Sus scrofa: one gene and its partners. The protein of the gene in region 2 purifies or fractionates together with the protein of the main gene of each other region. This does not show direct contact. Links are inferred from orthologs where the notes say so. Each region holds a gene or a part of one and is shown on either strand. Other genes may lie near its edges.

Region 1 (4,136 bases), on a different chromosome or scaffold from region 2:
TTACACCAGTGGTTCTCAACGCAGTAATTTTGCCCGCAGGAGACACTTGGCTATGTCTGGAGACATTTTTAGCTGTCTTGACTGGGTGGGGATCTAGTGGGTGGAGGCCAGGGACACTGCTAAACACTCCATGATGCCCTGGACAACACCCCCACAGCAAAGTGTTATGCCTTACACGGCAACAGGGTCGAGGAGAGAAAAAGACAATGGTTACCTTAGAAAAGTAAAGCTCAAACAGGCTTTTTCTCAGGGAGTCTGGTGAGCTCAAGCAAGGAGGGACTGCAGAGACAGAAGAGGCAGCAAGCTGTCATTTAAGAAAGAAGGGACCAAAGCCACAAGCCTGAGCTCAGTCAATGATCCTGTCAGCAGGTAAATGAAGCACAGCAACAAAAATGGCTAGTCACACATGCACCTCTGCTGCTTTTATTTTGTGGGTGGCACTGAGGGTGATCAGAAGGGGCCACAGGCCCAAGTACAAGTGAGGCCTGCCTAAGGCACTCAGAGGAAGAACCTCCAACCAAGACTTCAGTGACTGTGGACACAATTATCTTGACTGGACATAAAACTGTGTTAGAAGAATGCCTCCCTGGCACGCACAAACACATCCACTCCTGATTTAAATCTGCCAAAAGGATCAATTTGGGATGCAGAGCCTGCCTGGGTAGGTGTTTTGATCTATTTTGATTTGCGTTAGAAGCATTTCAGGAAAAAGACCAGATCTTCACCACCTTTCTAGCAATGAAGTACACGAGACACGCTGCCCGGCCTGCGTACCAGGGTGGGCTGTGCTAAGGTCAGATCATTCAAACCACGGCAGCCGCATACCTGGCTCGACAGAGGCGACTGTATGTTTAACTTGCCATTCTTGGGAATGTCTATTCTGTAGCCGAGAGGAAGGAAAGCGTTGAATCCGACAATGAGGTCAGGGTGTTCGTGGAATAGCTGTGACACTCGCCGGATGACTCCTGGAGTATCGATACTAGAACAAAGAAGAACAAGAGTGGGCAGAGGCGTCCTGGGGAGCAGATTAAAAGAGAAATCTACTCGTGACTCCCTTAACCGTGCCATGTCACAAGCTTCTCAACGGACAAAGAACCAACCACCCTAAAATGTGACTGGAGTGATTCTGCTGGTGGTGATCCGCTGCTAAGGCAGCCAGGCCTGGGCTCCCAGTGCCTTCCTGGCAAAATCCACAGAATATGTACACAGCACGGCTCCCAAAACACTGCAAGCACATGTGCTAGGTTCTGAAAATGTCAGGAGAGCCAATTTTAAATTGTGGGCTCCAAGAAGTGACATGTCAAAACCCTCTAAAGGGGAGATAAATTCCTCCATTTCGCATGAATTAGAGATGGACTATGACACTGGAGTTGTTCCCAGCAACTGACTATAATGCAAAGGCCATGCAAGTATGGAAGTGGCATAAGAATCGGAGGGCAGAGATGGGGTCTCCCTCAGGGCTGCAGTCAGGGCCAAGGCTTTAGCCTTGTGCCTGTGGAAGGCAACCAGGTGGGCCCTACCCTGTTTCCTTAGAGGGAGAAGCAGCACGGAGGGGATGTGACACTGGCGAATCTAAGTCAGACAGAACCAGTTCTGGTCCCGCCTCTGCCCCTAAGGTGGGTCTGGACAACCCCTTGACCCACTCTAAGCCTCAATGAGCATCCTTTCCAACAAGAGCACCATCGGGAGGGAGGTCTCCCATCTATCTCTAACCCTCCTGATTCAGTGCCTGTGAAAACAGCTAACATGTTTTAAATGCCTTCTTAGTGCCAGATTCCTTACTAAGCATTTTGTGCGCATTACTTCAAGTAGGCCTGGGACTGGAGTGAAGGGAGTGAGGAACTCACCTTGGGGATAAGATTTAAGAGGGACACAGTGCCAATACGGTCGATAACCAAAATTAATAACATTTTCATGCACTGCTTGATCAAAAGATAAAAATTAACTTTTAAAAAGCCTCGAAAAATGAAATTCACTTAAAAATCAACATTTTGAGTAAAGACGGGATCCTACCCTGTGTTTGCTCACTTGCCTCACCCCATCCCTGCCCTCGGTCCAGGAATCCCCACAACAGGGCCACGGCGGGGCGGGTGAAGGGGGGGGGGTCCCTCCCGGGGGGTCCCTCCCGTCCCAGTTTTTTTTTTTTTTTAAGAAGGAACTGAGGATCCGCTAAGTTCTGACCACCTGGGCAAGGTCACCCCGTCATGGGGCAGCCAGGGTAAGGGGCTCCCACCCAGCTCAGGCTGACTGCGGCCCAGGACGGTCCCCTGGGGTGGGCAGGGGCCCGGCAGGTACCTCTGGCTTTTGAATTCCTTCATGATCTCCAGGAAGCCGTTGTAAGTGGCAGGGTCGCTGCCGAAACGGATCTTCACCTGGTCCAGGTAGGTGAGGGCGTCCTCCACCTGCGGGGAGGGGAAAGTCCAGGTGGGCCGCGGTCTGCGGAGGAGGGGGCGGGGGACCCTGGCGGGAGGGGCAACCGGCTGGGCCTCAAGGAGCGGAGGTGGGGAGTCGGGGGTCTGGGGCTGCGCGGAGAGGAGGCCGAGGCGGGGCCGGGGCCGGGCGGGGCTTGGGTGGGGGGCGCCGGCCTGCGGGAACTGGACGACGGGGTGCTCGAGGGAGAGCTGGGGCGCCACTCACGTGCACTGGCAGCTTCTCATGGCCCGCAGAGCCCGAGCGACCCCAGCGGGCCCCGCTCAGCCCCCGGCCCGCTGGGCCGCCGCCGCCGCCACCGCCAGCGTGCGCCATGTTGGAAGTCGGAGCCACAGCCCGCCCCGCCCCCGCCCGGGGGCCGGCCGCGCATGCGCTGGCTCCGCCCTGAAGGCGGGGCTCTTTCAAGGACTCTGCGGTAGGATCTTACCCCATAAAACTGAAACGCGACTGTCCTGACATATACCACTGTGAGCAAACCAAAACCTGCCGCCTGCTTCTGTCTGGCCCCCAAAGCAAGATCGGAATAATTTTTACAATTTTAAAAGTTGGAAGAAAAATCCAAGGGAGAAGACTATTCCGTGACACGTGAAAATTCTATGAAATTTAAATTTCAGTGTCTGCAAAAATAAAGTTTTATTGGAACATAGGCATGCCCACTTGTTTACCTGTCATCTCTGGCTAATTTTGCAGTACAACAGCGGGGTGAATAACTGCGACAGACGCTAAGATCTACACAGCCTGATATATAATAAAATGTTCTTGACTCGTACTTGTAGGGTTGATGTGACAACCTGGTATGGGCACACAGCACCCTAGTTCAGGGCCACGGGGTTTGCCAAATTGCTCTTGACTTAGTCCTGTTCCTCCTCTCTTCGCTTCTCTAGTCCTGACCCCATGACTTCCCCACTGGAGCCTTTGGTTCCTGACCCTATCACTTCCCCACTGGACCCTCCCACTGGTTCGGGAGCCTCTTAACCAGTTTTTCCAGCCCCAGTGCTATCAAGAACTATCATTCCATAGCTGCTTCCAAACCTCCAAGGTCTTCCTATTTCTTTTTCTTTTTTTGTCTTTTGTCTTTTTAGGGCCGCACCCGCAGCATAGGGAGGTTCCCAGGCTAGGGGTCTAATTGGAGCTGCAGCTGCTGGCCTACGCCAGAGTCACAGCAATGCCAGATCCAAGCCGCGTCTGTGACCTACACCACAGCTCATGGCAACACCAGCTCCTTACCCACTGAGCAAGGCTAGGGATCAAACCCACAACCTCATGTTCGGATTCATTAACCACTGAGCCACAATGGGAACTCCAGTATCTTTTTTTTCAATGTGTGAAGAGGTGCAGGAAAGCTGAGAATACATTGGCAACAAGTGCATCATTTGCCAGGGGTCAGGAGTAGAAGGGTGAACAAAACCGACCAGGCTTTTACACTCACAGAGCCATCAGCCTTTCAAGAGGATTGGAATCAAATAATCACATACATAGATGTAAAGCTCACTTGTAACAAATACTTCAGAGAGAACATACAAATATAATAGTTATTGGGAATTCCTGTCATGGCACAGTGGAAATGAATCCAACTAGGAACCATGAGGTTTTGGGTTCGATCCCTGGCCTCACTCAGTGGGTTAAGGATCTGGCATTGCTGTGAGCTGTGGTGTAGGTCACAGATGCAGCTTGGATCTTGAGTTGCTAAGGCTGTGGTGTAGGTT
Region 2 (4,286 bases):
ATATGCCACAGGTGAGGCTGTAATAAAAATTAAAAAATAATTTTAAAAAAATTTAGAACTTATAAGACAAAAAAGCTATGAGAGTTGTTAATTTAACTGGCTAAATTTGTTTTCAATTTTCAGACTGTTCAAATGCTTGAAATATTATTATTATTTTGTCTTTTTGATTTTTTTTCTGGGACCGCTCCCACAGCATATGGAGGTTCCCAGACTAGGGGTCTATTCAAAGCTGTAGCCGCCGGCCTACGCCAGAGCCACAGCAATGCAGGATCTGAGCTGCCTCTGTGACCTACACCACAGCTCACAGCATCGCCAGATCCTTAACCCACTGAGCAAGGCCAGGGATGGAACGTGCAACCTCATGGTTCCTAGCCAGATTCACTAACCACTGAGCCACAATGGTAAGTCCTTGAAGTATTTTTAAAAATCTGTTCATTTTTAAAATAAAATTTTTCAGAGTGGAGTACTTAAGCTTTATATTTAACATACAAAACTTTCATCTACCTCTGGAGTATCAATATCTTGAACAGGTGAATCTCCTCCATCATCATCACTCCCTTTTCTCTTTCTTCTGTTTCGAACGCTCTGAATTAAGTTTTTATGATAATCACAAATGTAAAGATGTCTTGCCTGAAACAGAAAAGTTTCAGAGACTACTTATGATGGCCGTAAAATGTGTCTACGTGTTGGCAAAATGCATAATTCACAGTGAATTATCAAAAATAAAAACAACAGCCCAAAGAGGCCACTGTTAAGATAATCTGAACTGTTTTTTTCTACTCTTTTAAGTCCTGCACCCAGTTAAAACATACCACCCATACCATGGTCTGGTAATATTGTTAAAAGGACTGGGAGTGGAGCGGGAGTGGGAGACGTGGGGGGGAGAGGGGTGCCTGTAAGGTTAAGAGAGATGCAAAGGAAAGAGAAATGTCAACCCTCATGATTCTGTCATCAAACAGTAGCCATGGTATACTAGATTAGTGAGGTCATGCTGTTTTTTTTAACAATGGAAAATTGATATTGTTCACAATGTTGCTATTTGATAATATTTCTCTACTTAAAAATCGTTAATACCGTAACTATGCTTCCTAATTTTTCTAATTTAATACATTATCATCCAGATACAAACTACACATTTTTACAAATAAGCTACTGATTTCATACCCTAGATAAATTTATTTTTTTCTAGATAAATTTAAATCATAAATTTTTCTGAGTATTAAGTAAATGCACTTGTCTGTGATACGTTTTTCCAACCAAAGCAATGTGAAATTACACAAGTATACCTGAAAAGGTTCTCATGAACACGACTAAGGAACTGTTAGAACACGCAGAAAATATCCCAAATAAACTTTTCAAAAAAGACTTTATTACATTGTCCTGAGAGCTGTATAGTAACATCTGAAATACTGGGTGTCGTACATTAACAGTTACTCCTTAAAAAAATAATTGAAAGCAGAACTAATAGGCTTTCAAATTAACCTCTGAGCTAAGTGCAAGTTAAAAATATGCAGGACGTGTGCTAGTTCTGACGTCTTGTTATTTATACTGCCGGCTCAAGCTCCGAAAAGTGGAAATGGTTGTTTATAAAAACCTCATAGGTGGTCAAAAGAACAGATCCGCACAAGGACGAAAAAAGAAACCCTGATGGCTGCCAAACCGAGGGTAAAACCGCGGAGGCTGCGTGCTCCGCATGTCGATAGCAGCGGCCCTAGATGCTGACACTGAGCGCCCGGCTCCCGGCGCGGGGGACGAGGAACTGGATCTCCTCGCCCGCGGCGTCAGTCCTGGCAGGACTCCACTTTCCCTAGACCGGGAGCTACTCCCCGGGGCCAGCCGCCAGTTCGGGCAGCCGAACAAAGACACCTGGTTCCAGAAGGAGCTACCGGGCTATGGGAAAACTACTCTGGGCCTCAGCGCAGCTGCCCTCTTTGTTCCGCTCCCCTACCTCGGCGGGGGAGGAGGGGAGCGGGTCCGCCGCGCAAGTGTGCCGCTCGGGCTGCCGTCCCGGCTGAAGCACTTTGTTGTTTGCTTCCTACTAAGGATCCCGGAACCGGCTCGCGCTGCGCCCTTCTGGGCCCCTGCACCCCTACCCGCCTGGCGTCGGCTCCGCTCCCGAGAGCCCAGAGGGTGGGCAGGGCAAGCCAGGCCAGGCCGTCCCGCCGCCACTTACGCTCTTATCCAGCTCGATCTTCACCTTCTTCTGAGAGATGCTCTTCTGGATCCTCTTGCTGAAGCTGGCGTTGCCCGCCGCCCGGCTGCACCGCTCGCCGTCCTCCCGCAAACAACACAGCTGCCCGGGGCCCGGCCCGGCCGCCCCCGGGGGCCCCGCAACCGAAACCGCCCCGGCGCCGGGCACCTCAGCTCCAGAGCCCGCTCCGGCCCCGTTCCCTGCAGAGGCGGCGGCCGCGGCGGCGGCCGCGACCACGGCAGCCACCGCAGCGGCTGCGTCCCCGCCGCGGCTTATGTCCTCTGGCGTGAAGCCGTTCATGTCCCCGAGCTGGCGGCGCCGCGCTGACAGAAGCCCCAGCTCGCCGCGCTGCTTGCCTCTCGGGAGACGCCGGGGTCTCAGCGGTCCCTCAGACACCTGCGCGGCGGCAGCTATTCACTCTGAGCCCGAGCCCTCCGCCCAAAACCAGAGGTCCCTGGCCTGCCGCTGTCTGCTGGCGCCGGGACAGGGCACAAGGTGTGTGGTTGGGAACCGCGGTCGGGCGTCGTTTGGAGCTAGGACACCCCTCTCTGTCACATGGAGACTCCTCAGCAGTTGGACCGTGGCGCCTCCGCCTCCGCCTCTCTTCAGTCCTCGACTTGCGCAAGCGCTTTGTGCCCTCGCCCAGCCCGAACCCGTCCACTCTGCCGCAGGGCACCACGGGAATTGTAGTTCCCCTTCCGGGAGTTAACCCGAGCTCCAATATGACCCAGTGCTTCGCGGTTTAGGGAGACTACTCACCCCAGCATACATCGCGCGGAGGCGGGCCGGCTTTTTTGTGTGTAAAGCACAGGGAAAACAAGGACTTGTGGTTGGGGGTTGCTGTGTTTTCTGGCTTCTGGTCTGTCCCGGGAAGTTAGGCTGTGTTTAGCTCCCAGGATTTTGCAGAGCTGGCATTCTAGAGGAAGAGGTCACTCAACTCCGGAGGCGTAGCACAAAACGTAGGGGCCGTGGGTGGGAGGGGAGGGAAGTGAGCCTGTGGGAAAAAGTTTTGGGGCCGTTTTCGTATCACTGGTAAAAGTTTTTGCCGTGATACCGTTTTTGTGGGAAACCCAAACCAAGGAAGATGGGCGCCCTGGCGTTTTCCGGGCCCTCCAGGTCCCGCAGCTAACACCAAGGGATCTGGAGGGCATCTCCACCAACTGACGCCCCAAATTGTCCATTAGGGCGCCTGCCTGAGGTGGGGAACGCTGGTCCCGACCCCCGTGACCCCGCCTCTCCGCGCGCTCGGCCGCATCGCTAATGCCTGGCTAGAGGCCGCTGCCAAATCCTCGCATTGTCCCTGCGAGGGACGTGCACTCTGTCCGCTGCCTCCAGAGGTGGAGCTGCTGACGTGTGGACTTAACGGGGCAGCTTTCTTTTCCGGGGAACCGGGAGCTGGTCTAACCGTTCCTGAGGCTGCCGGCACTCGCCCTGCCCCAAGGGCATGGGGTGGGAGGGGCCGCATCTTCCGTGAGCACGCGTGTGTATGCGTGCGTGTGGACGCGTGTCTGTGGAGGTCGGGGTGGAGGGATGGGAGAGGCTGGTACGAAAGCTGCACCTTTGCTGGTTGCACCGCTTCATTATTTGTCAGTATGTATATCCTGTTTAACAATTACATTGTTTAAACAAAAATAGAAAGCGATTAGGTTTTTTGAAAGTTCTTTTATATTTACGGAGTGAACTTATTTATAGATGGTTATTTAAAATGTAAAGTGTCATCTGCACTGAAATTCAAAGCCATCCAGTCCATCTGTGCACTTCTGTCCTAGGGTAAAGAAAGGAAGAAAAAATAAATAAATGGAGTGGGTAAAAGAAAGATACTGAGTGGTGTTAGCTTTTCCAGCTGCACTGTCCAGTAGGGTGTCCGCTTGCCTTATGTGTATATTGAGCACTTGTGTTTTTTGTGAATGAAAAACTGAATTGTTAATTTTACCTCATTTAAATATTTAATACTGATTTCAGTAATCAGAGAATTATTAAATAGGAACAACTTGGATAAGAATCTTTTTTTTCTTAAAAATTTTGTGAAATCTGAATTTAGCATCTCAACTGAGATGTGTGGTAAGTGAAAACTAGAAGCAGGATTTCAAAGACT
Region 3 (4,089 bases), about 18 Mb from region 2:
AGTAAGGAGTGGGGTTACTTTGGACAAACCATTAAACATCTCTGGGCCCTTCTATCGCTTTTCTTGCTACACCCAAATAGACAAGAGACATCCTTAATTTTTTCACTAAGCAAGTGTCTCCTACTCAGAGGTAATCAGATAAACTGATTCATGCAGATATTCAACGCGCTTGTTTTCTAAATTACCAGCAAGCACCTTCCTGTCTTAGCCTAATTAACTTTCTGCAGGCAAATACTCCACTTGCTCAACTGAGAGTTGAGTTAGCAAATTATTGCATTGGGGAAAGCTACCTTTTAAAAAAAATTCATATTCTAAGAAATATGAGGCAGCTGTACTGTAGAGGGCCTGGGTCTGAGAGTTAGACACAAGGTAGCCTTGTACAATACCATTTTTTGTTTTTAAGACAAGAGGTAGCTCTTTTCTCATCTGTAAAATCAGGAGAACATCGTAGTGAACCAACCTGTACAAACAGAAGGGATGCCCATTGACTGGGAAAATACTGGGTTTTGCTGACCCCAGGATGGAATACTAACATCTTTTTAAATTTTATTTTATTTTTTTTTGCTTTTTAGGGCCACACCCTCAGCATATGGTGGTTCCCAAGATAGCGGTTGAATCAGAGTTACAGCTGCTGACCTATGGCACAACTCGGGATGAAAACTGCATCTGCGGCCTACACCACAGCAATACAGGATCCTTAACCCACGGAGCGAGGCCAGGAATCGAACGCACAACTTCACGGTTCTCTAGTCGGATTCGCATTCGTTTCCGCTGCGCCCCAAGGGGAATTTAGTATCTTCTTTATTTAAGTTCTTAGTAAAGCTCCAATTAGACAGGCGAGGAGCCAGGCTCTTTTTCTTGGGTTGAGCACGCAAACTCTGTTAAGGTTTCCTGGATGGTTCATGTTGTTCACCTGTTTAAATTTGAGACCACCTCCACCTGCAAAGAGCCCTTTAGTCTCTGCTTTCCAAAGTCCCTAAAGATCACCTCTTTAGATTTGGCTCCAGGCGCCGCCTGGCGGCTATTTCCGGAAGTGGCCGCTGAGCTTCGGGGTCCTAGCCGCGGTGGGGCCTGGCCAAGGATTTGCCTAACCCCAGAGAGCCTGTCTCCGCCCCTCCCCCCACCCGTGGAGGATTTTTAAGACGGCAATGAAGGAGATGGGGCTAAGGCGAAGGGGATGTTCATCTGCCTTTCCATTCCCTCTAGGATGGCGGAATCAGGCGGTCCTCGGGCAGGTCGCGACCCGGAAGTCGCCGCTGGCGCGAGGCCCCCGTTGCCCGGAGCAGGCGCGAGGGGCGGAGTTTGGCGAAGACAGCGAAGGGGTCGCCGCGGCTCCCGCTCTACGGGTCGGCGGCTCCCTCGGGCGCTGCTGGGCAGACGTGGAGTCCGCAGGGCGGGTGACCGCGGTCCCCAGCTGGCACGCTCGACTGCGGGTAGAGTCGACATGAGTGCTGCGGGACTGCTGGCTCCAGCCCCGGCTGGAGCGCCGCCGGCTCCGGAGTACTACCCTGAGGAGGACGAAGAGCTGGAGAGCGCCGAGGACGACGAGCGCAGCTGCCGGGGCCGCGAGTCCGACGAAGGTAGGACCCAGCCCGTTGGATGGGCTACCCAGGGCCGGGGTGGGCGGCAGTGCGAGGGGGTGGGGCTGCCCGGGGGGGGCGGGGCCACCTCTGGGGCTTGGGGGCGCCTGTAGGGGCAGCTGGGAGGAGAGCGGGTCCCGGAAGTTACTGCGACAGGTCCCAGGGAAGGGGAAGCTTTGAGGACTTGTATATACAGTTTTGCCGAGAAGGGCCGTAAGGAACTGTTGTCAGAGTTGTAGGCCCCTTTAAGATTCTGCTCCTCTTCTCCCAACTGTCTCTGAACCTTAGGTCTAAACTGGTTTTAAGGACAAAGTCATTGATTGGATGAACTGAGTGTACTCTTTTTAGTTCCTGAGAGGATCAGAGTAAAGCCCAGTTTGGCTTCCTTGGTTCCCAGGGTGCACCCCCCTCCCCTCCCCGCTGCCGCCGTCCGGAAATGCCTAAGTCAGCCCTTCTTGGGTTAGTGCGGTACAGGTGGGTTCAGAGAAGGAAACCTGGAATCAGCCAGATCGAATTAGGTCTAAATTTGGCTCACTGAACCCAGCGTAGTGATATTAGACAATTTACTTAGGCTTCTGAGCTTCAGTTTCCCCAACTGCAATGGGGCTGACTTCCTGGTGCGATTATTAAATGAGATACAGGCATAGAGCACTTGACCTAGTCCTGGGTAAATACTCAGGTGTCTTCACCATTGGGGAAACCCGTACAGGGGGCAGGAGATAGAGATTTGCTTGGTGATGGCTCAGGTGGTGTTTTCAGTTCCAAACTCTTTACCTTAGTTTTACTGACTCTCAGAGCCTGGCTTTTCAAACTGGGCTTTATAGTTTGGCATGTGTGAGGAACACTTTTTGAGGAGTTGAGGAAGGAGTTGGCTGCAGTAGGAGAAAGGGGAAGAAACATAAAAGGACAAGAGAGAAGAAAGAAAGATAAAGAGAGACCAACATGTGGGTGAAATATTCTGGCACAAAATAGGCCTTGGAGCAAAAGCTTAGACCAGCTGTCTGGAATCTGGAGCATGTTTTATTCATCTCTCTTCCCCAAGTGCCAAGTACTGTGGCTGGTGCACATCAGCTCAGTGATGGCTTCTTCACTGTAGGGAGAGAAAAGGGTAGGTGGAGGATTGGATCTGCAACAGCCTTTTTAAAAAAAGGCAACTGTATGTGGAGATACAAAGTTGAAGGAATTAATTACAATGTGGTTAAACTAAGAAGACAAGGTTTTACTAGAGATTTTGGCTGTGAATCACTTGTACTGTTTTTAATGCCCACAAGGTGGAGTAGCCAGGCAAAATTTGATCCCTTACCCTCCCACCCCAAGTAGGGCTTTTGAAATTATGTCGACACTCCAGCCATTTGCTTATTATAAAAATAATGTTTAGAGTATTCTGAAGCAGTGTCTGATCTTCTTATCTCATTCCTTCTCTCTTTGAAAATATTTTGGTTATTGGAGTTCATTTAGTTGGTTCCCATTTTCCTTTGTACATATGATGTAAAATCTTCTAGGGGTTCAGACTGGGCATATACCAGTAGAGAATGTACATAGTAGGTTGTTTTGGAGTAGAGCACACGGCTTGCTGCCTGTAGTTTTCCAGTCTTAATACCACATCTCCTTTTCCTGAACTGCCAGTGATGTTTCTGCCCAAGGAGCAGCCTTGACCATGACCAGCTGTGTCTGATGCCCCCTGTTTTCTGGCTGAACTTCAGATAAAGGCATCCTCTTTAAATTTGGCTGTGTATAAGTTGGAAATGGCGTTTTTTTCTGAAGTAACTGGATGTAATGTTTTTCACTGATGTCTTCATCCAGGCCTGCATTGAGAAGAAACTCATTTTATAGAAGTTTATGAAATGTCTCTTGTCAGGTGATACCAACTCTATGAATTATGATTGTAACAAACTTTTCTTCTATAATTTTACTTAGACACTGAGGATGCTAGTGAAACTGACCTGGCAAAGCATGATGAGGAAGACTATGTAGAAATGAAGGAACAGTGAGTATGATATTTACATTTCTTCTTTGGAACACAGGATTGACAAGGACACTTTTTTTTTGTTTTTTAAGTTTTAATTTTAATTTTTATTTATTTTATTTTTTTTTTGGCCATTTCTTGGGCCGCTCCCTCGGCATATGGAGGTTCCCAGGCTTGGCGTCAAATCGGAGCTGTAGCCACCAACCTACACCAGAGCCACAGCAACGCCGAGCAAGGCCAGGGATCGAACCCGCAACCTCATGGTTCCTAGTCGGATTTGTTAACCACTGAGCCACAACGGGAACTCCTAATTTTCATTTTTTTAAATTGAAATATAGTTGAGTTAAATGTTGTATTAACAGGGCCTCTTTAATAGTGACCTTGTGTGAACTGTTGTCACATAGTGTTTCCAGAGACCATGTGTATGTGTGTAGTTTCTCCCCTTGAAATTTGTCGCATTTAATCAGTCTTCCTGTGATAAGAATCTTTTGAAGGTAGGCTAGAAAGAACCTGGGAGGGAAATGATCCCAGGGGTAACAGGAG
Region 4 (3,500 bases), on a different chromosome or scaffold from region 2:
CTCTCCTCTGGCCCCTGCATTGAGTCTCCTTTGCTGGCTCTGCCTCCTCTCCCTCCTCAAAATGGTGCACTGCCCCAGGGCTCAGTTCACAACTGCTAGTTTCTTATCAGCGCTCATTCCTCAGGTGAGCTTATCCAGGCTCATGGATTTAAACATAATTCATAAATACAAGGACAACTTCCCAATTTCTATTTGCAACTTAATTTTCTTCCAAAAGCTAGGCTCACAGATCCAACTGCCTACCTGATGTGTCCATCTGAGGTCTAACAGAGGCCTCCCACTCACCACAGCAAAAACCAACTCCTAACCTCTCCCTATACAACAGAGTCCCTGCACCCTCTCCTGTCTCAGCAAGCGGCACCTCTATGTTTCCAGTTACTACGACCAAAACCTTTATCGTTGCCTCTGACGCCAGTCTCTCACTTACAACATCCAATCTTTGAAGAAGTCCTCTCCGTTCCACACCAACAGTCTATCTAGACTGTCACCACTTCATACCACGTGACTGCTACCCTGGTTGAAACCTTCACTGCCTCCTGAAATTAATGCACCAGCCTCTGAACATGTCCCCCTAAGGTGACCCTTGTTCCCACAGTCTTTCCCCACAGGGCAGCGACTGGTCTGTTATAACTGAGCTCAACTCCCTTCTCTGCTCAGAACCCGTCTAATAGCTCCCCACCGCCCTTAGCAAAGTCAAAGTCCTTACAGAGGTCCAAGGCTCTCACAATCCTGACCTGTTTCTCCCACTGCCCTTACTCACTCAGCTCATCTAACACTGCCTCTTTGCTATTCTTTGAGCACGCGAGGCATGTTCCTATCTTTGGCTTTTACATTTACTGCTCTCTTGGTCTGAACTGCTTTTTATCTATATATCCTCGTGGCCAGCATTTCATCTCTTTAATGTCTCTACTCAGAGACCATTTCCTCAAGTAAGGCCTTCCCTTTAAAACACTTTTAAAAATCACAGCTCTAGCCCTAATTTTCCCTTATACTTTGTCCCTGCTTTATTTTACTGTCTATTGTCCTTGCTATAATGTAAGCTCTAAGAGGATGGCGACGTGCTTGTTTTGAACAAGCTTGTATCGTGCATGTCTGGTGCCACGCCCTTCACAGTGTGAGGAATGACTACTGCCAGCCTCCTGGTACAGAAGGGTAAGAGGAACTATCCAGAACAATGAGAGAGATGGACAGCAAGATCGAGACTATTTTATTTCCCCTCCAGGGTTTATGCACGTCTTTCAACGGAATTGCTGAGGCTAAACATGGGTACCACGGAAGGGTACTTCATGGTATGATTAATGACAATAAATAAGGAAATAAATACATAGCAGGTTTCCTTTTCAGGGCTGCACTTGTGGTACATGGAAGTTCCCAGGCTAGGGATCAAACTGGAGCTGCACCTGCCGGTCTACACCACAGCCACAACAACACGGGATCCAAGCAACGTGGGAAACCTTGTGGATACTAGCTGGATTCTTAACCCACTGAGCCACAATGGGAACTCGTTTTTTCTTCTTTTTTTCTGTGGCAGGTTTAACAGCTGTAGACATAGCATGGCCACACCTCTTAACTAAAAGGACAGCAAGAGATGGGGGCCGTCATGCCAAAATGGTAAGAGGGTGATATGTGGTAACTACAGCACCAAGTTACTTACTTTCCACTTTGGTTTTGTCTGTGTTTCATCAGTATCATACACTGAATGTTACATTCATAGTCAGGAAAAATTAAGATTCCATAATAAATTGTTAAAAAAACAGAAAACAAAACAAATGAAAAGAAAACCTCCAAAGTGACCTGCCTTTTACAAACTAAAAGTTTAGAGCTAGGAAGAAAGAAAAGGGGTAATGGTAGTTAAATCTTAGTTTTAAGATTTAACTAATCACAAATAAGTTTAGAACTATTTTCAACAATACAAATTTTACTTTATTGCACATACATGGCAACAAAAATTGTCAGGGGATAAATTGTAAATTACTTACCCCTCTGCTATAATCACATTGTGATCCCTTTTTACATGGCAGTATTTTCTTTTCCTTTTTCTTTTTTTTGTCTTTTTAGGGCCATGCCTGCGGCATATGAAGGTTCCCAGGCTAGGGGTCTAGTCGGAGCTGCAGCTGCTGGCCTACACCACAGTCATATAGCAATGCCAGATCTGAGCTGTGTCTGCAACCTACACCACAGCTCACGGCAATGCTGGATCCTTAACCCACTGAGTGAGGCCAGGGATCAAACCCACAACCTCATGGTTCCTAGTCAGATTCGTTTCTGCTGTGCCGCAACGGGAACTCCAACATGGCAACATTTTCTTAATGAGTACAAGAGGCTATGCGTAAAGATATTCTTAGGGAAATAATAATCTTTTTCATGATTTTGGTAAGAAAATTAATTATAAAAGGGCAGCAAAATGGTTTTAGTTTTCAAAAGGCACTTTATGCTTCTTCTATTTATTAAAAACTAATAAAATACAAGTATAAAATGGGCATCAAGGAGTCAGGCTTCCTGCCTGAGGGTCACACAAGAGTTTGGACTCAGGAGATTTAGAGAATGGGGAAGAAGCAATTGCCAATTAAGAGTATTCTGATAATGAACTTACCGGAAACCGGTCTCATGATGTCCATTGGTTCCACTTCTTCTTTAACTTTTATTTCAGGAACAGGAGGGCCCAAAACGGAGGAGAGACTGCCACCTACTGCTGCTGATGGTGGAGGGGCAGCTGCAATGGTAGTGATGGGTGGAGTGATGGGAACTGCTCCAGGAATGGTTGGAAGGGCGACGGCTGGTTGTGATGGGGGGCTAGCTGCTGTAATCATGGTTGGAATGGTTGGTGGAGGCTGCTGGGCGGTGGGTGGGACTGCGATGGTGGGCTGATCAGTATTTTGATTGGATATGGTCTCCATTGACACAGTGACTGGAGTGGCCATAGATACATGGATTTCTGACTTGGGTTTGGCACTGAAATACAAAAGCAAAGATGATGTAGAAAGCAAGAACAAACTTTGGAGCATCACAGAAAATTAGTTATTTGTGCAATTGTTTTTGTACAACAAACAGCACAACTAAAACTCTATTCCTTGATTTAACTAAATTAAATAATTAATTTATTTTTTGCTTTTTAGGGCCACACCTGTGGCATACAGAGGTTCCCAGGTTAGGGGTCGAACTTGGAGCTGCAGCTGCCAGCCTATGCCACAGCCACAGCAATGTGGGATCTGAGCCGCGTCTGTGACCTACACCACAGCTCATGGAAATGCCAGATCCTTAACCCATTAAGCAAGGCCAGGGATCGAACCCACAACCTCATGGTTCCTAGTTGGCTTCATTTCCGCTGCACCACAATGGGAACTCCATAATCCTTGATTTTAAAAATGAACTTAAAGGTAACTTTGAAAAGGAATTCAAGTTTTAAAATTATCTCCACCTTGGAGTTCCTGTTGTGGTGCAGTGAAAACAAATCTGACCAGGAACCATGAGGATGGGGGTTCAATCCCTGGCCTCACCCA
Region 5 (3,500 bases), on a different chromosome or scaffold from region 2:
ATGTGAACCTGGTAACCTCTGGCTGAAAGAACTGACATAGCTAGTAAAACAGTGAGAATGTTAGACATCTTGGAAAACCCAGATAGAAGGGGTGCTTTATAAATACATATATACTGTTTGATTTAGTTCGTCAAAAGAGTAAACTGATCTTTTTGAATCAACGAAAGAAATTTCAAAAAAGAAAAGACATTTCCTGCTTACCTGACGTTCCATCCATAGTAATGTACCAAATATAAAACTTCTCCATCGTCAATTTCAGTGCTTTTAATACTGGCTTCATAGATTTTCTGTGTTTTTCCTCGTCCATATTTTACTTTCACTTTGGTTCCTGTTAGGCAGGGTTCTGTGTCTTCCTCATCTTCCTCCCCTTCAGAGTCACATTTGCTTTCAGTTTCTTCCCTGCGGCAAATTATAACATTGATAATAATACTAATAACTTAATGGAAAAGAATATAACTATGCTAAAAGAATCCAACATGTACAAGAGTCACAACCTAAGTGTCACCTTAATAACATGTCAGTGGAGGAGGAGAAGAAGGAGGAGAAGGAGAAGATTTTTATAGACTACTTACTAAAGAATTTATTTATTATGTAAAGGTGCACTGTGCCAAAAGTCAATCCATATTTCTTAAAGGCCAGTCAATAATCACAGTTAATGTGATGCAGGGTCAAATCACTTTTTATAAAATAAGAATGACATGCTTTGTAAAAGTTTTTAGGATTCATACTCAAGTGCCACCTTATATGTGAAAATGATCTAAAGATAGTTTGTAACTTTCTGCAATTAAAATCTCCTTTACTATTTACTTTCTGCTCAATTCAGAATGGTTTTCAACTAAGACTAGATTTTTGCTGGGCAAAATAGGGAGCAAGGGCTAACTCCATCTTTTAAACTAGTTTATATTTTAAAGTTTTCCCCATCCTAACAAAGAAACAATAGCTATTTGCATATTAGTCACTGGTTAAGAACCATGGGATAATAGCACCAGGGGAACAAAGCTTTGCATATCCTGTTGGTTTCCATTTGTTTTTACATGTCTCCCATCAGTTTTTCCATGTTTTGATAATCAGGTATAAAGGAGACTCACACAGGGAGGTCCAACAGTATTTTTACAAATAAAACATTCTTTATTAGCCCTGCAAGGATTCAGAAGAGATCTGCATCAAAGGTCATTCTAGAGTTTTACAGGCTTAAGAGGAAGTACTGTGCTCTATGACAAGCATAGGGCATTCTTTAGGGACCACTGGGGGTCCCAACATGAAGAAATTTCAACAACCCATTAGCAGTGGGAATGTTTTCTTTCCAGGGGCACCTTCCAATTATATCCTGATAAGGTAATTTCAAAACACCAGAAGAAACTACTTAAATCACAAATCTCTAAAGATAAAAAAGTTTCCCATTTCCATGATTCCTGCTATTGAATGAAAATACAGACTATATTTGTATATTCAATTTTTATTTAATAAAAAGAAATGGGAATTTTTAATGAAATGTCAAGTATAGGACTTTTTTTGTCTCTAAAATACTTGTTTTATTTACATATTAAGGATTTTTTTTTTTTTTTCTTTTTGCCTTTTCTAGGGCCACTCCTGCGACATATGGAGGTTCCCAGGCTAGGGGTTGAATCGGAGTTGTAGCCTCCAGCCTATGCCAGAGCCATAGCATCAGGGGATCCGAGCCACGTCTGTGACCTACACACCACAGCTCACGGCAACGCTGGATCCCTAACCCACTGAGCAAGGCCAGGGATCGAACCCGAAACCTCATGGTTCCTAGTCGGATTTGTTAACCACTGCGCCACGATGGGAATTCCCATATTAAGGCTTTTTAAACCACATCATGTGTTTATATGTGTATATTACATGTTTTATGTATTATAGAGATATTATAAAATAGACACATTGTGATGCTTATTTTTAACAAATCTTCAAACTATAATTAGGCCTTTTTCAGTGGTTTACCTTTGCATAAATTCATTGTCCAAATATTTAAAATACCACACTCATATTATTATACTCAACTCCAATTATTTCCTCCCACCTTCCCTAATCCTAATCATATTTCACTACAAAACTTTCTTTATTCACTAATCTAATTCACATGTAATTGTGATAGCTCCTGCACCTTTCTGTAATGAATCATAAAATTACATCTCCCACTCACCAATCATTCCTATTTTTCCAATTACGTTCTCAATGGTTAATTTTCAGATGAGTGTCAGCCACTAGTTGGAGGCAGCAGGCCACTTTCCCCAATTTTGCTTTAACAACTCAAATTTCTAGAAAATTTACCATCAAATAGTCAAAAAATAACCATAGAGGAGAGCTTCTATACAAGTAAGTGTGTTATGCTGTTGTTGTGAATTAAAATTCATTTTTTAGTAGTCTCTAAAAATTAGTAAATCCATGTGGCAACACAGAAATGGCCAACTGAACACAGTTGGACATTACTTTGATCTAGCTGGCCTGCCTAATCTTTGGTTATTTTTAAGTCAGTTCAGTCCATACATGTATAATACATGGGAGAAAAAAAAAACAAAACCAATCAGTTTTCACTCAACAGCAAACAGGATGGACATTAAAAAGCCAAAATTTAATTGTGATGTGGGGAAAGAATGTATTTTCCAAACTAGAATCAGGGGTGCATGCCACTTATTCTAATACAGTAACTTGAAAAAGAAAAATATCTTAGATAAAGCTAACACACAGAAACATCTGCTAGTACTGTGCACCCATGTGCTTGTTAGCTTTCCCACATTGTACCTTTTTTAAAATGGAATTTTTGCTGTCGCTGTTTCCTCTTGTCCACTTCCTCCATTTTTCTCCAGCTCCCTTCCCTGCTGTCAACTGCAGGACCTTTCTTTTGACTGGGTGGCGCAGCCTTCTTTGAGGCCACTGTTTGGGGCACAAGTGCTATTAAAATGGTGCGACCAGTATATTCTCCAATTCCATAAGGCAATACACATCATCTTCATAATGTGTCTCACCTTCATTAGACAAGAGGAACGGAAGTCCCAAGAAGAAAACATTCCCTCAAACCTGAATCTCTAAGCAGGAACAGAGCACTGCTGTGCCCCAAACAGGTGCTTCTGGAGAACAAATATAAGATAATGTACCTCTCTTGGCTTTTCTCTTCCTCTTCTTCTGAGTCTTTGTCAGAATCCTCCTGCTTTTTAATTTTCTTCTCCTTTTGCTTTGGTGTATTTTTTCTCCCCAGTAGCAGCTCATTTTCTTTTTTCTCTGCAGTTTCACAGTCATCATCTACATCCTTATTTTCTGTATCATTATCTTTTAATTTGTCTTCTGTTTTCTCTTCCTCAATTTCCTTTTTAATAGAATTTGCATCTCGAGCAATTCTCCGTCGTCCCTAAAAGGTGGATAAAAGCTTTAAAATAACTGTCACTACCAAAGAGGGAAGAAGTAGAAGAATGTATCCTTTTCTTAAACCTTCACAGCAAGGACTAGTCTTTTCTCTGGCTGGGACATGACACTGACAACCC
Region 6 (3,371 bases), on a different chromosome or scaffold from region 2:
TCCAATACCACCTCCAAGCCGAGCCACCTGGTGGATGCACACACCGCCGAGGTCAATTGCCTGTCGTTCAATCCCTACAGCGAGTTCATTCTCGCCACTGGCTCTGCGGATAAGGTTTCTCAATTTTTGCATACTTGGTATTTTATGAACGCCCTTGTCTTGTCCTGTAACACCTGAACTTTCTTACGTAACGTGAAGAAACGAATTCCTTTTTATTGTTCTTCAGACTGTAGCTTTATGGGACCTGCGTAATTTAAAATTGAAACTCCATACCTTCGAATCTCATAAAGATGAAATTTTCCAGGTAAGTGACAGTTTTCTGGTGTTTGTGTCAGATTTTCATAACTTTTTGGTAGAGGGAAATTAAAAAAGATTTCTCCTTTTATACGGTCAGCATAGAACACGGTGTTTTATTTTTTAAGCTCCTCTTCCACTATATAAATGGGAAATAATGTGGAGGTTTTTTAGAAACTATTAGTTCAGAGGTAGAAGAAAAATCTTGCAAAACAGGATCCATTGAAAAAATGAAATCCAAGAATTCTTCCTTGAAGGTATGTCAGCATAGTGGGTTCTCTAGTGAAAAAATACCTTGTATATGGTTGAAAATTGAGATTTTCACTTCATTGAAAGATTTTGAAGCTTCTGGGGTGGTTTTGGGGCCGAATAAGTGTGTTGGACCCTTAGCTGAGTTTCCCTGTGTTTTGGAGAGATGGGCCACTTTGAGTGCCTGAAAGGATAGGACAAGGAGGGTGAGGGCCTGTAGGCCAAGGCGAGGCTACCGTGCACGAAATGGGAACATACCCAGGATTAGAACAAAATCCACCAACTTTGGAATGGATGAGTCTTTACATTTGCAAATGTAAACTTGCAGGTCCACTGGTCTCCACATAATGAAACTATTCTGGCTTCAAGTGGTACTGATCGCCGTCTGAACGTGTGGGATTTAAGGTAACTCAGAATCTCGTGACAAGAAATTGCATAAATATGCTAATCTGGCAGGTTATGTAATAATTCATAAACTAGCAGAGCAATTTGCTAACCCCATTAATAAGTCTAAAAGTAATTTTAAGTGCCTTCCTGAAGAGTCTTTGTTCCATAAAATAGAAGCGAATCAGCATTGGTCTGTAAAATAAATGTATGCCAACGTGAGTTTTGTGTCTCTGTGCCTACTCAGGCCTGACGTTGGGGTACGGGGTGGCGGGGGGTGTGACATCCGTATGTTGGGTTTCACAACCCGCTTGCTGTGGAAAGAAAGCGTAAAGGCGTCGGCGCCTCCTGTTTCATTGGATCTCACGTCCACCTGCAGCACTGGTCTCCGTTTTTCTCCCGTTTGCTGTTCTGTGCTTTCGTTGACTGTTTTCTCAGGGATGAACCCGGGCTGTGGGTTGTGTAAGTGCTGAGGATGAACTGGGACGCCAGCACAGCCCATGCTGCCAGAGAGGTCATGTTCTTTTGGGGACTCACCGTGGTCCCAACTCTCAATTCCCTGACTACAGAGTTGCTATTCTAAGAATTTCAGACGCCTTTGGGGTTTTTTTAGCCTTTAGAGCCATAGATGATGTTGCACAGTTCCGTACATTCCCCCAAGATGTTCTTATCTCAAGTTCACATCATGAAAATGCCGAAAGTAACTTCATTCCTACCTGTGTTGCTTTGACTTTGCTTTGACATGGACTAAGTTTTTAGTCCAGATTGCCTTCATTATCGAGACAGGAGGCCCCCTCTTCAGTGTACGGAACAGAGACACTGAGGAGAAAATGTTTGTATGTAAAAATTCTAAACAGCCAATGTTCCATGTTCTTATGGCCATGATAGATGCTGGGAAATGTAGAGAATCTTTAAAACAAGCATTTCAGTATATTCTTTTTCATTTGAAAACAATTTTAGTAGTAAAATTAGAAACCTAAAACAAGGAGTTCCCATTGCGGCTCAGTGCTAATGAACCCACCTCATATCCATGAGGATGTAGGTTCGATCCCTGGCCTCGCTCAGTGGGTTAAGGATCCGGTGTTGCTATGAGCTGTGGTGGAGGTCGCAGAAGTGGCTCAGATCCCGTGTTGCAGGCCAGTGGCTACAGCTCCAGTTCAACTCCCAGTCTGGGAACCTCCACATGCTGTGGGTGCGGCCCTAAAAAGCAAAAATAAAGAAAGAATAAGATGTGATGTCTGGGCTGATGCTGGCTTTGCAAATACTCCTGCTATAAGAACTTCAGTAACGAAGGCATGTTCTTTCTTAATAGCAAAATTGGAGAAGAACAGTCGGCAGAAGACGCAGAAGATGGGCCTCCAGAACTCCTGGTGTGTACTGGCTTTCCTCATACAAGATGAAATGTCATGTGGACATTGGCCTGTTTATCATTGTTTCGCATCTCTGGAAAATGAGTCAAAAACCTCAAATTTCACCTCTTAAAGATGATTTCAAATTGGAAGCGCTAGAGGTTATCGTGATAGGGTTTTGGCGTTTATTAAAAATAGTAAATAGAGCCCAGTGGATTTTTACCAATATTTCAGTGAGAAGAATTTAGGCTCCTGGCAAATAGTGTATAGTAATTTCTCCCTGGTTCTCAGTAATAATGTTTCTGAGGGTTTAGTGGGGCGGGGCTTTGATGCTGTTAGCAGGACTTAACACTTTCTCACAGTGTGAAAAAACGGTATGACCTGACTTGTAAGTTCCTTGCTCAGAAAAATGAATGCTTCCCCGATCTTTCACCTGTTCCTAATTAAATTATTTTGGCATCTCCTCAGCCCTTTGAAGGTTTACGAGGTGGTATCTGTCCTGTCCTGTCCTTCTGTCTCAGTCCTTCGTTGTACACTTGAAGTCCCTTTTCTGGGAAGCGTTGCCAGTCGTTTGGCAGAATCGCTTGTTCCTCTGTTCCGCGTACTTAGCTCTTAGACCAGTACGAATTCGCTTTGTACACTTGGGCTTTGCCCACCACTTGTAAAGAAGGCTGTCGAGGGTGAGCCCTGCTCGCAGAAGAGGCTTGCTAAAGCCGGCGCACTGTGCCCATCGGGGAGCCTCTGCTCCTGTCCGCTGTTCCCATGCCCTGCAGCACTGGATTGTGGCAAAGACACACCAGCGTATTTCGTGTTAACATAGTGCTGCAGTTTTTTTTTACTTTAGTAATACCTTTATTGATGAATATTTGGCAGGACATACAACGAACTGTTTTTAGAGTAAACACTGCCGTGGTTTTTAGTAGTTCATAGAGTTGGACAGCCATCACAAGTCTGTTTTAGAACATTTTTGTCCCCTTGTAAAGAAAGTGTGCCCTTTACCTCTTGGCCCCCAGGCTTCTCCTTTCACCAGCCCCTGGCCACCTCTGATCTACTTTCTGTCTCTAGATGTACCTGTTCTAGACATTTCATATGAAA
Region 7 (4,106 bases), on a different chromosome or scaffold from region 2:
ACCCACTGAACGAGGCCAGGGAGTGAACCCACATCCTCATGGAGACTCGTCAGGTTTGTTACTGCTGAGCCACAATGGGAACTCCTGGGCCCAAACTTCTGATCCGGGCTTCCAAGGCCCTGCACAGACTGGACTTGAATCACCGGTCCAGCTCCTTCACCCCACCATCTGCTGGCCAGTTCTCAAATATACCACGCACTTCCCCACCAGCCCTAACGCCCACGGCGCTATTCTTTCTTTCTTTTTTTCTTTTTTTGGTCTTTTTAGAGCCATATTCGCAGCATATGGAGATTCCCAGGCCAGGGGTCCAATTGGAGCTGTAGACGTTGGCCTACACCACAGCTACAGCAACGCCAGATCCAAGCTGCGTCTGCGACCTACACCACAGCTCACGGCAATGCTGGATCCTTAACCCACTGAGCGAGACCAGGGATTGAACCCGAAACCTCATGGTTCCCAGTCAGATTCCTTTCTGCTGCGCCACGACGGGAACTCCTGTGCTATTCTTCTGCCTACACCGCCCTCCACTTCTCTTCCTGAGAACACTCTACGATGCTTGTGTTCTCACTGGGCTCAAATCCTATCTCCTGCTTCCTTCATGATCTCATGTCCTCAGTGCTGCCCTCTCCCTTATGCATCTTCAACTCTCGCTCCTGACAGCTCCTCCCAGAGAACGTCAGACGTGCTCAGGTATCTACCACCAGAGAGAGAAAGCAGAAACACAAAACCTCACCCCACCCCACTGCTCGCCGTTTTCCACCTCATGGCTACTTTTCAAGGCCTTGTGGACACTTGCTATTCCTACTCGCCCACCTCCCACTTGTTCTGTTCCTGTATCATCACTCTCAGCTGAAGCCCATCCTGTAGAGTTAACTGACGAACTCCTCGTACCTAATGCCAGTATTTTTTGGTGCTTATCTTAGGTTGACTTCTCAGCAAACTGAACAGTCTTAAGCATTCCTTCTTTTAGTCACTCATTTAATATTTACTGAAGATCTAATACATGCTAGGTAGCAGCAGACACTATGGTAGGAGCTGGGCACAGGTGCGACAGTCTCTGACCTCAAGGAGTTTACAAGTTCCTGGGACAGAAAGGCTAAGAAACAGACTGTTGCTGTGGGGTGAGAAGAGTTAAGACCAGGGGCTTACGGGAGAGGCATCTAACTGGGACCTGGAGCCTGCTGCAGCAGTGAGGGCCTGCAGAGGAAGATGGGCCAGACAGATGAGCTGAGCTGGTCAAGAGAGGGTGCATTCTAAGTAGAGTGAGTAGCAGGTGCAAACACCCCAAGAGGAGAGAAGGGGGCAGGGCTGGGGGTCCATGGGTCTAAGCCTCACAGAGAAATGTGGGCTGCAGAGATCTGGTCATCACATCGTGAGTTCTTCAGGCCTTGGGAGAGGGTGCAACCAGCAAGGCAGAATGTGTGGAGTGAGAAGGAGTTCATGATGGAACTTCTAGGGTCATCAAAGGGGCAGATGACAAGATGCCAGGAAAGGAGAAGGAAATTAGCAAGAGACAGAGGAGGAAAAAGTCAGAGTATAGGGGGAGAGAGAGAATTTCAGAATGAAGGAGATGAGACAGTGCCAAATGCTGCCAAAAGATCGCCCAAGAGGAAGACTAAACAGTCTCAATAGATCATTTCTGACTAAAGGGGTTTCTACTTCACCGGATGTTTTCCTCTGGGTACTTTGTAGTCCTTCAGATCCGCGTAGATGCCCCTCCTTATTTATTTCCACGTCTGTTGCCCATCCTCATGCCTGTCTGTGAGCCTCCCCAGGGCAGGGCTGCACACGCGCTTTACCCACCCCGCGCAGTACTGACTCACTAGACCACTGGAGGATTTGCGAATGCAAATTAAACAAAACACATTTTTGCAGGGCAGGAAATGGCTTTCTTAGTAGCCCCTGGTCCCTACAGTGGTAGCAAACCCAAAGTGTTTTGTCACCTTTCCTTGACATCAGTTTGAGTAAACTGACTGGCCTAGAGGGCCGTTTCAAAGCATTCCTCAAGGATTTCACAAATGATCTGAACCTGAGCTGAAAACCTCGGTTCTCCAAATCAGCCTCCTCTTTCCCTTTTTCAAGCCTCAGTTCCTGGAGTTCCCAAACTTTGCAATTTCTCTTCACTGTTAAATATATTTTAACAACTCGGGGTAAGTCCCACCTTTCTGGACCAGAGAGGGCGGGGCTTGGGGGGAGGTCTCTCTCCACCAGTCTCTGGGTCTACTGAGAGAGCCAAATTAAATCACATCCTCCCCACTTTAGCCCGGGTACAAAATGAGGATAACCATCACTACTCTGGGTGTTGTAAAGATGGCAAGAGGTAAGGGATCGAAAAGCAAACTATAAGGTGCTGTGCACATGCAATTTATCTTTTCAGAAAGCGAGCATGTCAAGGGCACGCCTCGTAGGAAGGAAGATTCTTCCCCACCCTCGAAGAAGCCGACCCAGTCCCTCCACGGCGCACCCAGAGCCTCGCGCCCCGCTCCATCTCCGTACGCGGCGGAGCGGGCGGGAGAGTCACTGGCTCCTCGGTCCCGCGGCCCCAGCTCGCGTCCGGGCGGTTAAGTCTCGCTACCGCCCTGGATATTGGGCAGGCTCCGACTGCCTGTCCGAAAGGGCAAACCAGGCGCCAGGGTTGGCGTTACGCACCCGTAGGTAGTGGCGCTTCCAGCCTCACGTCTTAGATTCCCCAAGAGGTGCCGGAGGTTATCGGTACTGGCTGCCGCTGTGGGGGTCCCGGAAGCGCCGCACCGGTCCCTCTTCTCCGGGGGCGGGGCCTACCCGCGCTTTCCGCATGCGTCATCAGGAGGCGCCCATCGGAGTGCTCACAATTGGATAGCTGGGGCGAGGCATGCTGGGATACCGCGGGACGGTTTCCATGGCAACGGACCGACATTCACACAGGCTTTCAGCATGCAGGAAAGGCCCTTGTGCCTTCCTAGCTTTGCAGCCCTCGCGTCTGGGTCCACAGTCACCTCCCGGCGGCGCGAAAGGGGAGAACCTGCGACCCGCGGCCCCCACCCCCGCCCGGTTCCGGAGAGTAATGGAGCCAGCTGTAGGTGTGAACACTCATTTATTTACACATTGTAGTCGGTAGGCAAATCACCCAGCCCAGGCTATTCAAGGGTACAGATCTCAGACGCACAGAACCTGCAGATCCTTCCCTTCTCTAGAGCCCCCGGGACGGAGGCCTAAGACACCAGGAAGTTTCGGCTTCTGCCCAAAAGCTAAGAACTAAATTCAACGCCTTCATCTGATTTCTTTCCAAAAAGCCCATTTTGTTAACTACTCAGACTTCTCAGCTCTGCCCCCATTCATACTTTTTGCTCTCCTACTGCTCACCCACCCAAGATTGTTAATAATAATAACAATAATAATAACAACAATAATAATACTGTAATAATATTAATAATACTTCACATTTGTACGAAGCTTACAGAATGTTTTCACATATAGCATCTCATCTGAGCCTCCCAGCAGTTCTGTGAGGTAGGTATTCTCACCTCCCTTTTACAGACGGGGTAACTGAGGCTCAGAGAGAGAACGGGATTTGCTCAAGGCCACACAGCTAGTTAGTGGTTAAGCTAGGACTTGATCCCAGCACCCCATATTCAAGTCCAGTGTTCAAACACCACAGCTACCACTGTAAAGTGGAGTGACGTTTCTTACCCCAGTCAGGCCTGAGGGGCGGCCTAAGGAGGGAGGAGGCTGAGACTTCTCAGACTAGGGGAAGGAAGGGCTCAGCAGTGACGTGGGGAGTCGGGGTACTTGGCCTTCAACTCCTGCTTGAACTGACGGTAAAGGATCTTATTGTGCTGATTTTCGGCCTCCTTTTGGGGGTGGAATTTCAAAGCTTCTTTGAAGCCTTTATGAACCAGGAAACCTTCGTTCAGCACCTCAAAATCGAATCCTGCCACGTGCAACTCACAAGCCTGTGGAGGGAGAAATAGGTCAGCAAAGTTTGATGAGGTTCCCAGGCCAGAGACGGACATCACTGCTCACTCCAGCATGCCCATTCCTCTGGAGGCATCCTGGATCTTTCAGCCATCCAGCCACCTCCTAAACTATGATCCCTCCTGCCTCACTGGCTCCTTTCCATCCAGGGC

Evidence for each region.
Region 1: the proteins of SAP30 (region 2) and SIN3B purify together in Homo sapiens (affinity purification with mass spectrometry; 4 studies listed by BioGRID and IntAct, with this or other methods). This does not show direct contact. The link is inferred for Sus scrofa from reciprocal best matches to the Homo sapiens genes SAP30 and SIN3B.
Region 3: the proteins of SAP30 (region 2) and SUDS3 purify together in Homo sapiens (affinity purification with mass spectrometry; 4 studies listed by BioGRID and IntAct, with this or other methods). This does not show direct contact. The link is inferred for Sus scrofa from reciprocal best matches to the Homo sapiens genes SAP30 and SUDS3.
Region 4: the proteins of SAP30 (region 2) and SAP130 purify together in Homo sapiens (affinity purification with mass spectrometry; 4 studies listed by BioGRID and IntAct, with this or other methods). This does not show direct contact. The link is inferred for Sus scrofa from reciprocal best matches to the Homo sapiens genes SAP30 and SAP130.
Region 5: the proteins of SAP30 (region 2) and ARID4A purify together in Homo sapiens (affinity purification with mass spectrometry; 5 studies listed by BioGRID and IntAct, with this or other methods). This does not show direct contact. The link is inferred for Sus scrofa from reciprocal best matches to the Homo sapiens genes SAP30 and ARID4A.
Region 6: the proteins of SAP30 (region 2) and RBBP7 purify together in Homo sapiens (affinity purification with mass spectrometry; 10 studies listed by BioGRID and IntAct, counting the BioPlex papers as one, with this or other methods). This does not show direct contact. The link is inferred for Sus scrofa from reciprocal best matches to the Homo sapiens genes SAP30 and RBBP7.
Region 7: the proteins of SAP30 (region 2) and BRMS1 purify together in Homo sapiens (affinity purification with mass spectrometry; 3 studies listed by BioGRID and IntAct, with this or other methods). This does not show direct contact. The link is inferred for Sus scrofa from reciprocal best matches to the Homo sapiens genes SAP30 and BRMS1.

What each region holds. Positions count from the first base shown.
Region 1 is NC_010444.4:60,788,861-60,792,996, forward strand, and holds the start of SIN3B (paired amphipathic helix protein Sin3b), read right to left. Parts: upstream 2,801-4,136; 5' UTR 2,746-2,800; coding exon 2,638-2,745; intron 2,403-2,637; coding exon 2,296-2,402; intron 980-2,295; coding exon 826-979; intron 280-825; exon of another isoform or gene 215-279; intron 1-214.
Region 2 is NC_010456.5:16,679,133-16,683,418, forward strand, and holds the start of SAP30 (histone deacetylase complex subunit SAP30), read right to left. Parts: upstream 2,801-4,286; 5' UTR 2,492-2,800; coding exon 2,174-2,491; intron 631-2,173; coding exon 505-630; intron 1-504. UniProt on the Homo sapiens protein: Involved in the functional recruitment of the Sin3-histone deacetylase complex (HDAC) to a specific subset of N-CoR corepressor complexes. Capable of transcription repression by N-CoR.
Region 3 is NC_010456.5:34,314,277-34,318,365, reverse strand, and holds the start of SUDS3 (sin3 histone deacetylase corepressor complex component SDS3), read left to right. Parts: upstream 1-1,289; 5' UTR 1,290-1,444; coding exon 1,445-1,580; intron 1,581-3,497; coding exon 3,498-3,567; intron 3,568-4,089.
Region 4 is NC_010457.5:59,386,810-59,390,309, reverse strand, and holds part of SAP130 (histone deacetylase complex subunit SAP130), read right to left. Parts: intron 2,953-3,500; coding exon 2,594-2,952; intron 1-2,593. UniProt on the Homo sapiens protein: Acts as a transcriptional repressor. May function in the assembly and/or enzymatic activity of the mSin3A corepressor complex or in mediating interactions between the complex and other regulatory complexes.
Region 5 is NC_010443.5:187,430,354-187,433,853, reverse strand, and holds part of ARID4A (AT-rich interactive domain-containing protein 4A), read right to left. Parts: intron 3,368-3,500; coding exon 3,117-3,367; intron 400-3,116; coding exon 202-399; intron 1-201.
Region 6 is NC_010461.5:13,296,150-13,299,520, reverse strand, and holds part of RBBP7 (histone-binding protein RBBP7), read left to right. Parts: coding exon 1-114; intron 115-226; coding exon 227-304; intron 305-871; coding exon 872-948; intron 949-2,239; coding exon 2,240-2,297; intron 2,298-3,371. UniProt on the Homo sapiens protein: Core histone-binding subunit that may target chromatin remodeling factors, histone acetyltransferases and histone deacetylases to their histone substrates in a manner that is regulated by nucleosomal DNA.
Region 7 is NC_010444.4:6,044,771-6,048,876, reverse strand, and holds the start of BRMS1 (breast cancer metastasis-suppressor 1), read right to left. Parts: upstream 2,801-4,106; 5' UTR 2,650-2,800; intron 1-2,649. UniProt on the Homo sapiens protein: Transcriptional repressor. Down-regulates transcription activation by NF-kappa-B by promoting the deacetylation of RELA at 'Lys-310'. Promotes HDAC1 binding to promoter regions.